3 linked regions of the Schizosaccharomyces pombe genome follow. The protein of the gene in region 3 binds, or shares a complex with, the protein of the main gene of each other region. Each region holds a gene or a part of one and is shown on either strand. Other genes may lie near its edges.

What was found. The genes of interacting proteins can lie anywhere in the genome.
Region 1: SPOM_SPBC3H7.04 (region 3) and rsm18 share a complex: the UniProt entries of both Schizosaccharomyces pombe proteins name them as parts of the mitochondrial small ribosomal subunit.
Region 2: SPOM_SPBC3H7.04 (region 3) and mrp4 share a complex: the UniProt entries of both Schizosaccharomyces pombe proteins name them as parts of the mitochondrial small ribosomal subunit.

What each region holds. Positions count from the first base shown.
Region 1 is NC_003421.2:722,870-727,292, forward strand, and holds rsm18 (mitochondrial 37S ribosomal protein bS18m), read left to right. Parts: upstream 1-3,120; 5' UTR 3,121-3,140; coding exon 3,141-3,641; 3' UTR 3,642-3,923; downstream 3,924-4,423. Other genes in the region: protein kinase Wee1, read left to right, coding at 1-1,998; SPOM_SPCC18B5.05C (phosphomethylpyrimidine kinase), read right to left, coding at 4,161-4,423. UniProt on the Schizosaccharomyces pombe protein: Component of the mitochondrial ribosome (mitoribosome), a dedicated translation machinery responsible for the synthesis of mitochondrial genome-encoded proteins, including at least some of the essential transmembrane subunits of the mitochondrial respiratory chain.
Region 2 is NC_003424.3:3,064,826-3,069,263, forward strand, and holds mrp4 (mitochondrial 37S ribosomal protein uS2m), read right to left. Parts: upstream 1,442-4,438; 5' UTR 1,385-1,441; coding exon 593-1,384; 3' UTR 501-592; downstream 1-500. Other genes in the region: SPOM_SPAC24C9.09 (threonine--tRNA (Thr) ligase), read left to right, coding at 1-366; sgd1 (ribosome small subunit biogenesis protein), read left to right, coding at 1,763-1,832, 1,882-3,545, 3,589-3,909, 3,957-4,229. UniProt on the Schizosaccharomyces pombe protein: Component of the mitochondrial ribosome (mitoribosome), a dedicated translation machinery responsible for the synthesis of mitochondrial genome-encoded proteins, including at least some of the essential transmembrane subunits of the mitochondrial respiratory chain.
Region 3 is NC_003423.3:1,873,688-1,878,291, forward strand, and holds SPOM_SPBC3H7.04 (mitochondrial 37S ribosomal protein mS42), read right to left. Parts: upstream 3,095-4,604; 5' UTR 2,873-3,094; coding exon 2,210-2,872; 3' UTR 1,967-2,209; downstream 1-1,966. Other genes in the region: SPOM_SPBC3H7.05C (uncharacterized protein), read left to right, coding at 772-1,845. UniProt on the Schizosaccharomyces pombe protein: Component of the mitochondrial ribosome (mitoribosome), a dedicated translation machinery responsible for the synthesis of mitochondrial genome-encoded proteins, including at least some of the essential transmembrane subunits of the mitochondrial respiratory chain.

The sequences.
Region 1 (4,423 bases), on a different chromosome or scaffold from region 3:
CACATCTCTCCATTTGCATCGGGCTCCTTCTCTCCTTTTGCAACTTCATCGCCTAATTTTTTATCGACTTCCACACCCGCTCCTCCTAATTCAAATAATGCTAATCCTTCTACCCTTTTTTCGTCCATACCATCCTCTCGACACACTACCTCTAATCATTTCCCTTCTAACTCCGCTCAATCCTCTTTGTTTTCTCCTACCGCTCGTCCACTTACTGCACGCAAGCTTGGGTTTGCCTCCAGCCAAACTAAGTCTGCCGTATCTAACAACCATTCACGAAATAGCTCTAAGGATGCATCATTTATGATGAAAAGTTTCATCCCTTCTAATCGCTCACATCCTCAAACCCAACAAAATGAATCTTCCCTCTTTTCTGATAACAGTATGGTTAACTCCTCTTCTAATTCATTCTCCCTTTTCCCCAATGCTACTCTACCTAACCCACCCTCATCTGAGTTGTTAACTACTCCCTTTCAACAAATCAAACCTCCTTCCCAAGTTTTTATGAGTACAGGTCTTTTATCCAAGCAACATCGTCCGCGAAAGAATATTAACTTTACACCTCTCCCTCCTAGTACTCCTTCAAAACCCTCTACCTTTGTTCGTCCACATTCTTCCTCCACAGATTCGCCTCCATCACCCTCGACTCCTTCCAATACACAAACCGACTCTTATTTTATTCAACGGGAAAACACTCCTACAAATCACAATTCCATTCCTACTATTCAGTTGGAGAAAAGTTCCATGGACTTTTTGAGGTTCGATCCTCCTCCTTCTGCTGTAAAAACTTCTCACAACTATGGATTACCATTTCTATCTAATCAGAGGTGTCCCGCTACGCCTACTCGTAACCCATTTGCGTTTGAAAATACTGTTTCCATTCACATGGACGGTCGGCAACCTTCGCCTATCAAATCGAGAAATAATAATCAAATGTCATTTGCCATGGAGGAAGAAGCTGATGTATCTCAACCCTCTTCTTCAAGCTTTACATTATCCTTTCCTTCTGCTCTCACCTCGTCCAAAGTATCATCATCTACTTCACATTTGCTTACACGGTTTAGAAATGTTACTTTACTAGGAAGTGGAGAGTTTAGTGAGGTTTTTCAAGTTGAAGACCCTGTGGAAAAAACTTTAAAGTATGCAGTGAAAAAGCTCAAGGTAAAGTTTAGTGGACCAAAAGAACGTAATCGACTACTTCAGGAAGTCTCTATTCAACGAGCCCTTAAAGGCCATGATCACATTGTAGAGCTTATGGACTCATGGGAACATGGGGGGTTTCTTTATATGCAAGTCGAATTGTGTGAAAATGGTAGTTTGGATCGTTTTCTTGAAGAGCAAGGACAACTTTCAAGGCTCGATGAATTTAGGGTATGGAAAATATTAGTAGAAGTAGCTCTTGGGCTACAGTTTATTCATCATAAAAATTATGTTCATTTGGATTTAAAGCCTGCTAATGTTATGATAACATTCGAGGGTACCTTGAAGATTGGTGATTTTGGAATGGCCAGTGTTTGGCCTGTTCCGAGAGGCATGGAAAGAGAAGGTGATTGTGAATACATTGCGCCTGAGGTTCTTGCTAACCATTTGTATGATAAACCTGCTGATATTTTCAGTTTGGGTATCACAGTCTTCGAAGCTGCTGCTAACATTGTTCTTCCTGATAACGGTCAGTCTTGGCAGAAATTACGTTCCGGTGACTTATCAGATGCTCCTCGACTTTCTTCAACAGACAACGGTTCATCTCTTACTTCTTCTTCTCGTGAAACACCGGCTAATAGTATAATAGGCCAAGGGGGACTTGATCGCGTTGTAGAGTGGATGCTATCTCCAGAGCCTAGGAACCGACCTACCATAGATCAAATTTTGGCAACTGATGAGGTTTGCTGGGTTGAAATGCGTAGAAAAGCCGGAGCCATAATTTATGAAGGTATTCATGGATCTTCTTCTAACCCCCAGGGTGATCAAATGATGGAAGATTGGCAGGTGAATGTTTAAACCTTTTAGAGACTCTTGTTCTCAATGTTTATTACTGCGAAATTGCGAAATAAGGGAATGGCTTCCAAAATCTGTTTAGCTTCATAAAAGCAAACACTTTAATTATTTTTAAACGAAAAGTTTAGTGATTGGTGCTTATAATTAATTTTGGTTCATTAAATGCTTTTTTTTTATTTAAGGATACGTGTCCGTTTTAACCGAACCCTTAAATTTTAAAAAATTTTAAAAAATTATTAGATGATAGTTTTTCTATTTAATTTTTTGCCTTTTCACCGGATTATCTATTTGGTTTTCTTCAGTCAAATATCCGGTTAATTATATCTGAGGCAATATGATGATGGCTATGGAAACATGCCATTCAGTTCTTGATATGGGGAACTAGAATGTTTCCTTAATTTAAAGCCTTGACGCCGCACATACTGTACGTGCTTTGTCTACTGAAAAAATGTTAGTGAACGATTGTTTTTTATATCGCAAATCCTTTCTCTAACATGTAGACTCGGCTTCAGAGGAGTTATTATTCCTATTTTTCATCTATTTTATTGTCTAATTTCTTATGTCACTCGTTTGTTATCGACTTGATATGTTGCATTTACTCATCTTTGCTAGCATAAAGTTCGAATCCCGACTGTTTATCCACTTTTTTTTGACTTCTGTTTTCATAATAATTTAGATCGATCGATGACACTGCCTATTATTCTTGTACATAGTTTACGATCTTGCTGAATGGCAAATAATTGGTTATGTTTATGGAAAATGCCACGATTTACTAACGAAGTTTAATAACCCGTTAGATTTTTTATTATTATCATATCATATAATAATTAGTAATAATGTTAACGTTATGCTTAGTTCCACTTCTGTAATTTTTAATTTCCCTTTTTTTTTATGCTTGTGAAAGCTGTGTATATGCTCAAGTTTGTGATGCCTTCAAATTAGTATAGGATTTTAATGACCCGTTTAACACTTCATATCTAAATAAACATTTATTTTGAAACAGAAAAGTTAGAAAATTCAGGTATCATCACGTTTTCATTTATCAGACACAAGCATAAGCTATAAACTATTTAACGAGTGTCTCATTATTTCACTAAACACCTTCAAACATTGAAATATTACTTTGACAACAGCACGGGAGAAAAATGCTTGGGAGACGAATATTTTCTCCAGCTCCAAACAGAGGATTTATTTTATGCAATCTCATACAATCTAATAACTCTACGCGAAGAGGGTTTTCGGACAATCGAAAATTTAATGAGAGAAATTCTGAAGCATCTTCAAATGTAGGATTTCAGAGAAGAGTTCGCTCAAATATTCCATCATATTTATCAGCCTCCGTAGAAGAAGGTGATATTTACTCTCCCAATGATTTACTGTTTGAAACGGTAAAGGCGAAAAATCAAGCCAAATTCTATGAACCAGTAAGAGAAGATTGCTTTAAGACGGTGAACGAAAACCCTATGAATTATTGGAAAAACCCCGTAATATTGTCAAGATTCGTTACTGAACTTGGTCGTATTAAACCCAGAGGTGATACTGGCCTAACAGCAAAAAATCAACGACTTCTTTCTAGGGCTATCCGAAGGGCTCGAGCTGCTGGTATAATGCCGACGAAATACAAATCAGTTTATTCGGAAAATTAAATTGTACTGAATATTAACAAGGACGTTCTATATCTCATTTCATCACATTGGTAGATATACTTACCCACTGTCCCTTACTTTTTTTTTCTTAAGGAACGATAAACGATCTACTTTACTTTTTAAATGATTAGCTCACGTTAATTAATATTTCAGGTGTACTTTGGTTTTGAATAGTCTTTTTTGGATTAAAATATACATGACACAAAATCATAAACCGCTGCTAATATTAGTGGCTAACATTTTTTAATGGCTTTAAAAATATAATATCTTTGTTATCTTTAATTTTTAATTTAGCTTGATTGAACTTTTTTGTAGGAGGAGCGTTAGTCGATACAATGTATTAAAAAAATTATCTAGTAGTAGTTATTTTACTTATCTAAAGAGGACAGAGAGGGAAGAACAAATAATTATATGCAAAAGAAGAAAAAATCCATCTAGAAAAGAATTGGGTTTTATAGAACGATATTAAAACGATGAGTGCATCATGGAGCTAGTTCAAAATATATGCAATAGGGCTTTTCATGAAGGTATATGAGATAAAAGAACAGAAGTTAAATCAGCTTGTGGTATGTAATTCTCCGACTTTAACGAAATTAGAGATCCTGAGAACTTAGAAGAATGACCTAAAGCTGTAAATAGCTGAGCACTCTTATAGGGATCTGAACTCTTTTTATGAACCCTTTGAATGGCCCACTCGATTGAATATAAAGCTTCGTGAATGGCTTGCAAAGGTGGTATATTACAAGCCAGATTCGATGCAATGGCAGCTGTAAGAGAGCAAC
Region 2 (4,438 bases), on a different chromosome or scaffold from region 3:
CCATTTTGGCTAAGTCCTAGACATGCTGTCATTTTACCAGTCAATCAAACAGATCGAATTCTAACTTATGCTAAGCAAGTACAAAAGGAATTGTCTAATCAGGAAGTCAATGAATCTGAATTTCTCCCACTCAATAAAAATACCTATTATGTGGACATAAACGCTGAAGCACAATCTATTGGCAAACGGCTACGTGAATCAAGACTTTTAAATTATAATTATGAAATTGTCATTGGAGAAGACGAAGTTGACAAAGAAATTCTCAGTGTATCTAGTAGACACAATCATAATTCAAGGGATACTAGAAAGATGACTATTCAACAATTGAAAAAAGAGTTTATAGAAAATGTGAAAGCATACCGATGATTTCCTTTCGCACAGCAAAATATGTCTGTCTTTAACAAAAATTTTGGCATCAAATCATTGAAATGTGATATATACGTTATCCATAATAATTTATTCTTTCTTTTTAACCTTTCGTTTACGAATCATTAATTTTATTGAATACTAGTGAAAATTAATCAGACCTTATCTTTAATCATGTTTAGAAAAATCAAAGAATACAGGCATTTTCAAAACAATGAGAGGGGAATCATAAAGGAAGTGTAAATTTATCTTTTTCGAAGGCTTGGTTAGCTTTTTGGTACTCTTGCTCAGCTACCCTACTCAGTAAACCAGCTATTAAATCTGTACACCGTAAAGAATCATCATTTGCTGGAATAGGATAGGTAACCATCCTTGGATCCGCATCAGTATCAATGATTCCAATTGTTGGAACATGAGTTTTCTGTGCCTCTAGACAAGCACTTTTGTTTTCTAATGGGTTTAGTATAACCATCAAATCAGGAAAGACATAACTTGGTTTTTTATCAGTTTGAATCAATTTCCCTCTATTATCTTTACATAAAATTGAACCGCCAAGCTTTCCTTGTACTTCTCTGGCATTGGTGAGAAGTCCTGGTAGCCAACGATCAAATATGTGATAACCTCTAGCACGTTTGGCAGCAGCAACGACAGAATCTTTCTGGCCGTTTCTGGTGCCAATGAACAATATAATTCCATTTTCTTTAGCTATTGATCTAACGACGGATATAGCTCTTCGTAGGTAAACCATGGTTTGATCCAATGATATTATGTGAATACCTTCTCTTTTACCATATATAAAGGGCTGCGTGTAAGGATTCCATATGGATGTAGAGTGTCCTAAATGAGCACCAGAAGACAACAATAAAGGAAGACTAAGTTGACTAGGAGGTGCCGGATTTCGAATGGATAATGTCGGTGAATAATGGGGAGCTACAACTGCACCTATTTTGTGATTCCAGTCACGTATTTTTAAACGACGAGCTACAAGTTGCTCCGGTGATAATTTCCGTGAAAGCATAATACAGACACGAATGACTCGAGCAAAATGAAAGCCCGTTTGGTGTAGTAGTACTTTAAGACTTTGAAATCGCTGCACGATTGCAACATTTCCACTTCGATATGCTTTATTAGTGTGATACTACATAGAGCGTTAATGTAAAATACAGCAGCAGAGTGACAACTTTAAATAGCATTAACAAATTGCGATATTGTATACAGTTCCATTAGCAGTGTTGTGAAATTCATTTGAAACGATACGCCAACTCGAGACTGAGGCCCAATTCTTCTCTTTGTAAAGCAATTATACCAGTTTTTGGTATCGTTTAATTGAAAAATTTGGTAGTTCTTGAGCTTTAGTATTAATTATCGTTTGTTTAATATTTAAACATTCGATAGTATGAGGCCAATTAAAAAAAGCAGAAGCTTAAAACTGCCCAAAAGTATTTTAGAAGAGATAGGAGAATCTGGTAAGCTTTTTTTTATAGATTTGGTCAGTATATTTAACCAAATTGATAGATTCGAGTGCTAGGCGGGGAAAGCGAAATCATAATCTACCTCATCGTGAAAAAAGAAAATTTGCTAGGATCTCTCGAGGAAAAAATGGTTATGAAAACCGGAAGATTACAGAAGAAGGTGATAGTAAGTCTTCTGAACTTAATGATGATTACTTAGATGCTCACAGAAAGTCATCTACAAAAAAAAAATCTTCACAGAATAAACAGGCAAAGGAGAGTAAATTACTCGATCCCATTGCTTTTCAGCATAAGATTGCTTTGGAAGAGGATGATCGTGAAATCGCTCATTTAGAAAAGATGCTTGGCATCAAAAGCAAAGATAAATCTGCTCACTCAAAAATTGACAAGGAATTTGGATGGCTTTTAGAAGACCTAGATCAAGAAATTGATGACATAGGCGTTCCGGGCACTGAAGATCCTTCATATGGTCATTCAGAAGACTCTGAAGTTTCAGACGATACAGGTGACCATGGTAGCGTTGATGAGTTGGAAAGTGAAAGGGAAGGAAATTCGGGTGAGGAGGAGGAAGAGTTTCATGGGTTTGAGTCTAATTCTGATGAATTCCATCAACCTGAAACTAAGCCGATTCGGATGGATCCTTTGAAGCCTGCAGTCCCATCCTTACCTAATGCGAACGTCGGCTCAAAGTATGTCCCTCCATCTTTACGGAAAAAATTAGGGGGAGATAAGGAGTCAGAAGATGCTCTGCGACTTCGTCGGAAATTACAAGGATCGCTAAACAAATTGTCTATCGCAAATATTTCTTCAATTATTAAGGAGATTGAAGTCCTTTACATGGAAAATTCAAGACACTCAGTCACGTCTACCATCACCAATTTGCTACTACAAACCGTAATGGGAAGAGAATCTATGCTAGATCAATTGGCCATAGTATATGCTGCGTTAGCCACTGCTCTTTACCGCATTGTAGGCAATGACTTTGGTGCTCATCTATTGCAAACCCTAGTGGAACGTTTTTTGCAGCTTTATAAATCAAAAGAGAAAGAACCTCTTTCTTCCCATAAGGAGACTTCTAACTTGATTGTATTTTTTGTTGAGTTGTATAATTTTCAACTTGTTTCATGTGTTCTTGTTTATGATTTGATTCGCCTTTTTTTACGCTCTTTAACCGAATTGAACGTTGAAATGCTGCTCAAAATTGTCCTCAATTGTGGAGGGCAGTTGCGATCAGATGACCCGACGTCTCTCCAAGATATTGTTACGGAAATGAATTTGTTATTAGCTTCAGCTGATCCATCAACCATATCTGTCCGTACAAAGTTTATGGTAGAATCGATCACTAATCTTAAAGAAAACAAAAAAACAAAAGTTGCCAATGCTAGCGCCCAATCTAAATTTGAAGCTGTAAATCAGCTAAAGAAATTTTTGGGTTCGTTAGGCAACCGCTCATTAAATGCTAGAGAGCCTTTACGAGTTACTTTAGAAGATATTGAGCAGATTGAGACGAAAGGTCGATGGTGGCTTGTTGGAGCTTCTTGGAATAATGTTCCATCTGGTGACAACACATTATCTACTGAAGCATTACAGGATAAGAAAAAATCAGAAGAACTGACGGCCCATTCAAAAATTTTACAAGCTGCTAAGAAGTTAAGATTGAATTCAACTCTTCGAACTTCGATATTCGTTGCCCTTGTTGGTTCAGAGGTATTCGTTCTAAATTTCATTAACTTTAAACTAACAAACTTAGGACTACATTGATGCATGGGAAAGAGTGCTGAAGTTGCATCTCAAAAGGAATCAATTACCTGAAATAGCTTATGTAATTTTGCATTGCGTTGGTAATGAGAAATTGTATAACCCGTTTTATGGTTTGGTAGCGTTAAAATGTTGTACATTGCAGCACAATTTGAAAAAGTCATTTCAATTCTCTCTTTGGGATTTCTTTAATGAACTACAACCAGATGATGATAGTGAAGAAAGAGAAATATCCATGAGACGCATAGTTAACTTGGCGAAGCTTTATGCGTCTTTAGTCATTGAAGCTGCACAGCCCTTAACTATCCTCAAAGTACGTATATTCTAAAAATTTGATTGTAATTACTAACTCAATTTTAGCATGTGGATTTTATGGCCATTAATGCCCAAATGCAAACGTTTTTACTGGTCTTTTTTACCGATATAATTTTGGGAGTTAAAGACGATTTACAACTCGTAAAAATATTTGAAAACTGCAAAGCAGAGAAAAACCTTTCATCGAAAGTGGATTGGTTCTTAAAAACTTATGTTCGGAAAAATCCTTTAGTGGATAATTCTAAAAAAGCTCTGTTCAAGTCTAATCTTGCGATGGCTAGCGCCATTTTACAGAGCATTTCCAAAGAAGAAATTTGAGTTTTCATCATTTTCTTATGTACATATATAGTATATCGTATACTATACTATTCATAAAAACTTAGGGTTACGGTTATAAATAAAAAGGTTTTGGTTTGAAAACTGACACATATATACACCTTCAGTAAGTTGGTTATCATTATTAAGCTTATTTATGCTTGACATTGTCTAAACATAAACTATAATATTGCAACATTGAACATATACTA
Region 3 (4,604 bases):
TTACCGATTTTCATATTAAATCCTCGGTGGTCAAAATTTGTTGGGCTCTTGCTCTCTATTTGTCGTTTGCGTTGGTGGTTTGTAATATTCCTAACCACCCCATTTTTTTCTGGCGACCCTAACTTGGGGGTTTTGTTTACAGATCCAGGTGTCGAGAAAACCGGTATTTTCAGGCAGAAATCGATCTTAAGAGACGATTTTTTCTTGTTGGGTTGACTACCTTGTACCTGAAATCTGTTGTGCGAAAATTTCCAGATTTAAAAAATCGTGGATTGATTGAAGGGCAATTGAAGATTACGGGATGCTATTTTCCTTTTCATGCAATTAGCAAGTATTACTGATTTATTTGTAATTCCACAGTGTCTGATTTATTTTTGTTAACAACTATATTATAACACTTTTTTTTCTTTGCCTTCATCATCATCATCATCATCATCGTTGTTCTTTGTTTCTTTCAATAAGCATTTTGTCATTTTCTTTTATCATTATTGTCTTTTTTTCATATTTTTGTCGGTTGACTGATTGATTGTAAATAAAGTCTCATAGTTATATAGAGTGTGGTTTGCCTTTTCTTATTGTTTCGCCTTGTCTTGTCTTGTCTCGTCTAGTGTTGCTTGTATTGTCTTACCCTATCTGTTCTTTTTCTTCACTTTTGTTTTAACTGCGAATTTTCTTTCTTACTTTTTTGCTTTTCTTCCTTTCCTATTCCTCCACTATAAAGTTTTCGGCGTTTGATCATCTACGAACACGATCTAAAATTCAATTACTTTCATGTATCCATTTTCTTTCGATCCTTCTTCCAAACTTCCAGTCACAGGTATTTATAACATCCTTCTGTTCAATCTATTCCCTTTAGCTACATACCTTGTCGAAACCTTTTGTTTTTTTCGCCGGTGGAAAATCGCCTGCACTTTGTTATGTTCCATCACGGTTATACTGGCGTATCGCATGTGTGCTGTCTATCACCATGTTGGTTATAAGGATGTCTCTACATTTGGTTTGGCATATGGCTTTCTCATTATGATGTCGCTTCGAACTTGCTTTTTGAGTTGGCGAGATATGGTACCTTCTCGCAACGATCCTGTACAAATCAGCGCTGTTAAGCGTCGTCGACCATTCATTCGTAACGCTAGGTGGAACTTTGTTGATTATGCACTTTCTTTGCGCAAGTATGGTTGGACTGACGACGTGGTTCCCCCTTACTGTAGAAAAGTGCTGACTTACAAATCTTTGGGGATACGTACTGCTGTCTATGTGGGTGCATTTTGTTTTGTCAATTGTTTTAAAACTCGTTTATCCAATTGGATGTTGCTTCCTATATCAGCCAACCCATGGTATATTCAAGTCGCATTTTGCGTAACCTCTGGATTCTTTTCATATTTGTTTATTAATGCCTTGTACTATTTATTCGCCATTATTTTTGTTCCTCTGGGAATTTGGGATATTGCAGAGTATCCATTAATGATGGGAAATGTATCTAAAACCACCTCGGTTAATGATTTTTGGTCCAGAGATTGGCATGTTTGTACCAAGCCCTATTTCAGAGTGATTGCTTGGGATCCAACTATTGCCCTCACTGGAAGTAAGTTTCTGGCAAGTTGTTCATGTTTTTTCCTTTCAGCATTATTCCATGACTTTGCCTATTGGTCAATTTCTGGACGCTGTTCACCTGCTTTCTTTTTTCAGCTTTTAATTCAACCTTTCCTTATTAATCTTGAAAAAAGGATTCCCCTCTTGCGCAAATATCATTATTGGGTCCTAATAATCGAAATGCTTATTAATGGAACATATGGTATGGGAGTCGTATTATTAAAATTTAAGTGGAAAACATGCTCGCAAATTTAATTTACTGTTTAATGTCTATGTTTGACCTTCCGAAACCTCTAAAGTATCAGATAATTGCTATGTGTCCTAGTTTATACATTTAATGGATGGTTCAACTAAATTAACTTTTCCGTAGATATTGTTGGAATGTTAAATAATATATAGAGGGAAACATTACATTTAGCATTCTAATTCTCATTCTTTGCCAACAGTAATTACAAAACTTTATTTATTTATAAGATTTGTTAATAGTATGGGTTTTTTCAATCAGATAAAGTGAACCCATAGTAAGCCACCATGATCACTTGCATACAAAACGTAGCCGGGAGAGGAGGGGAGAGAAGTAGAAAAAGATTGAAAATTGTGCAGGATTCAGTCGGGTTAGCTAAAGGGATTCAATGCGCGTAGCTTGGAATCTATTGTTGACGACCGTCCAATTGATCATATCCCACCATTTTGTAATGTACATTTTTTTACCATTTAAACCATAGTCGTCAAGATACGCATATTGCCAAAGGTTAACGCATAAAAGCGGTACAATTGCATTGGTACGAAACTTAGGAAATCCTGTTCCCCAAAGAAAGGCATTTGACGCATTGTACGTGCATAATAAGGAAAATAAAGATTTTTCTGGACTATATACCAACCACAGCCAACCATCACCAAAAACTGAATTGCCAACGTCAACCATTTGAGACTTCAACTCACCAAATGAACCGAAGGATGCATCAATTCCAGGCTTTAGGTTGATAGCTCCTAAATCTGCATCTGCAGAGGGCCGTTCTGGAGAAATAAGGCCGGAAAAGAAAAAATCATGATTTACCAATTGGCTAGAGTAATTGAATAAATTAGCGCGGGCTGGGTCACTAGCGCTTTGAACCATTAAATCTGAAGGCACACGATACGGAGTTTGATGAATTTTACATTCTTTTTGTACTAGGCCTCGTAAGTGGTTGTCATAAGCAAAGATATTCCTGACCGCATCTTTTGACAAAAAATTCTTGTAGCCCACGTCCAACGCTCTGGCGAAGCGCTGTTGAAAACTCATTTGTTAAATTGAGGTAATAGTTAGGGAATGGGTATAAAAAACTGCAATGGAAATCAAGTATGCGGGTTTAAATTTTGTAATCCTAAGAAATTGGCAAAGACGACCAAACTGTATAATTAATTCATTAAGTATTAACAAAATATGAAAATCAAATAGTGTAGATGCTACGTTTTTGAATGTTTGAAATATTTCAACTTCAATATTGGTAAAGGCGTTCCACTCAGACCGCTCAGAGAGAGGTAAGCAGCCCTACTGGCGCAAGTAAAATATCGGTATGAAAGTTCTGCATTCCTTGTTGCGATATATACCATTATACCACTATATAAATTTTTGAAGTTGAATTAACAGAAATCTAAAACTTCGTTGAAACTTAACTAGTATTACAATGAATTTGTTAACAAGTTTCCCAAAAAAAATTGTGAAAGTAATCTTAAAGCGTTCAACGGGTTTAAACGGTGGATTATAAAAGCCTTTATTCCCAATATGACCATGATTCAATTTAAAAGTAAGCTGTATGACTCATTTTCAATCAAATTTACTTCGTCTTTTATAAGAAGATTCATTGACTTGAGAAGAAGAAAAATAACTTTAATATTCGAATGATCACAACTTTTATGTGAAAGAACTGTAAATATGTTAAACGTTTATAAATGACAATTGTGGCCGTTTGGTCTAGTGGTATGATACCATCTTAGGGTGATGGTGGTCGTGGGTTCGATTCCCACAACAGCCCGATTTTTTTTTTTGTCTCAGTAATTCAAGAGACCCTCAAATTTTTTATGTAACCGTTTAGATTGCAGCCTAATTGTTCAAAAGCTTACTCAAATTTGATCTAAACATTCGTGATTAATCGTTTATGAAACCATACGCTAACGATTAATTAGGAATTGATACAGGTTCATAACACCGTTCATGGATTGGAAACATCTACCATTTATTTTTAGTTTTAGTTAACTAAAATTGTAAGTGCACTGCATTTTTTTCGAAGCTTCATTTCTTTCATCGTTCAAAAAGCTGCTTTGGCAATAAAAAAAAGTTTAAGGTTATTTTTAGCCGAGGCTACTGGGATTGTTTCATATGCTTACAAGCGAAATAGGGAATAACTAGCTGCATACAAATGTTTTTGAAGAATACCTACCATTGGGGCTGAGCTAGAAGAAATATGGGATTTGAGACAAAAAGATTACTACTATATTAAGGAAGAACTGCTGAAACTTAGACGGAATAACCCAAGTATGCATACATGCTGCCAAGCCCGGTCTTGTTGCAATTTCAGGCTCTACACAACAGTAACAAGTGATTTATGGATTACGGATACTTTTTTTAAATTTAATATTATCTGGTTATAGTTAAAATAGAAGATTGTTTCACTATCCACTAGTTTTGGATTACATGCCATTAGTGATCAGGGCTATAAGCGAATAATTTTCAACGTTTCATCTGACCCTGGTACAATTTTTTCAGTAAGTCACATATTTATTTATTTTTATCCAAAATAAGAGCTAGATGCGTATTTTTTACAGGCCATGCCACAGTCTTTTTTAATTGCTAATGTATTAGACTGTGTCAATGGTACGAGACATTACTAACGAGTAAAGGTAATTTCTTCTATAGGATAGATTAAATATACCACCTAGAATTAGCGATGATTTTTACACAAACTCAGCATGTCTGTTTTGTAATTACCAATCCGTTTAATTTATTTGATGTGCGCTCAAAAGATATATAACAA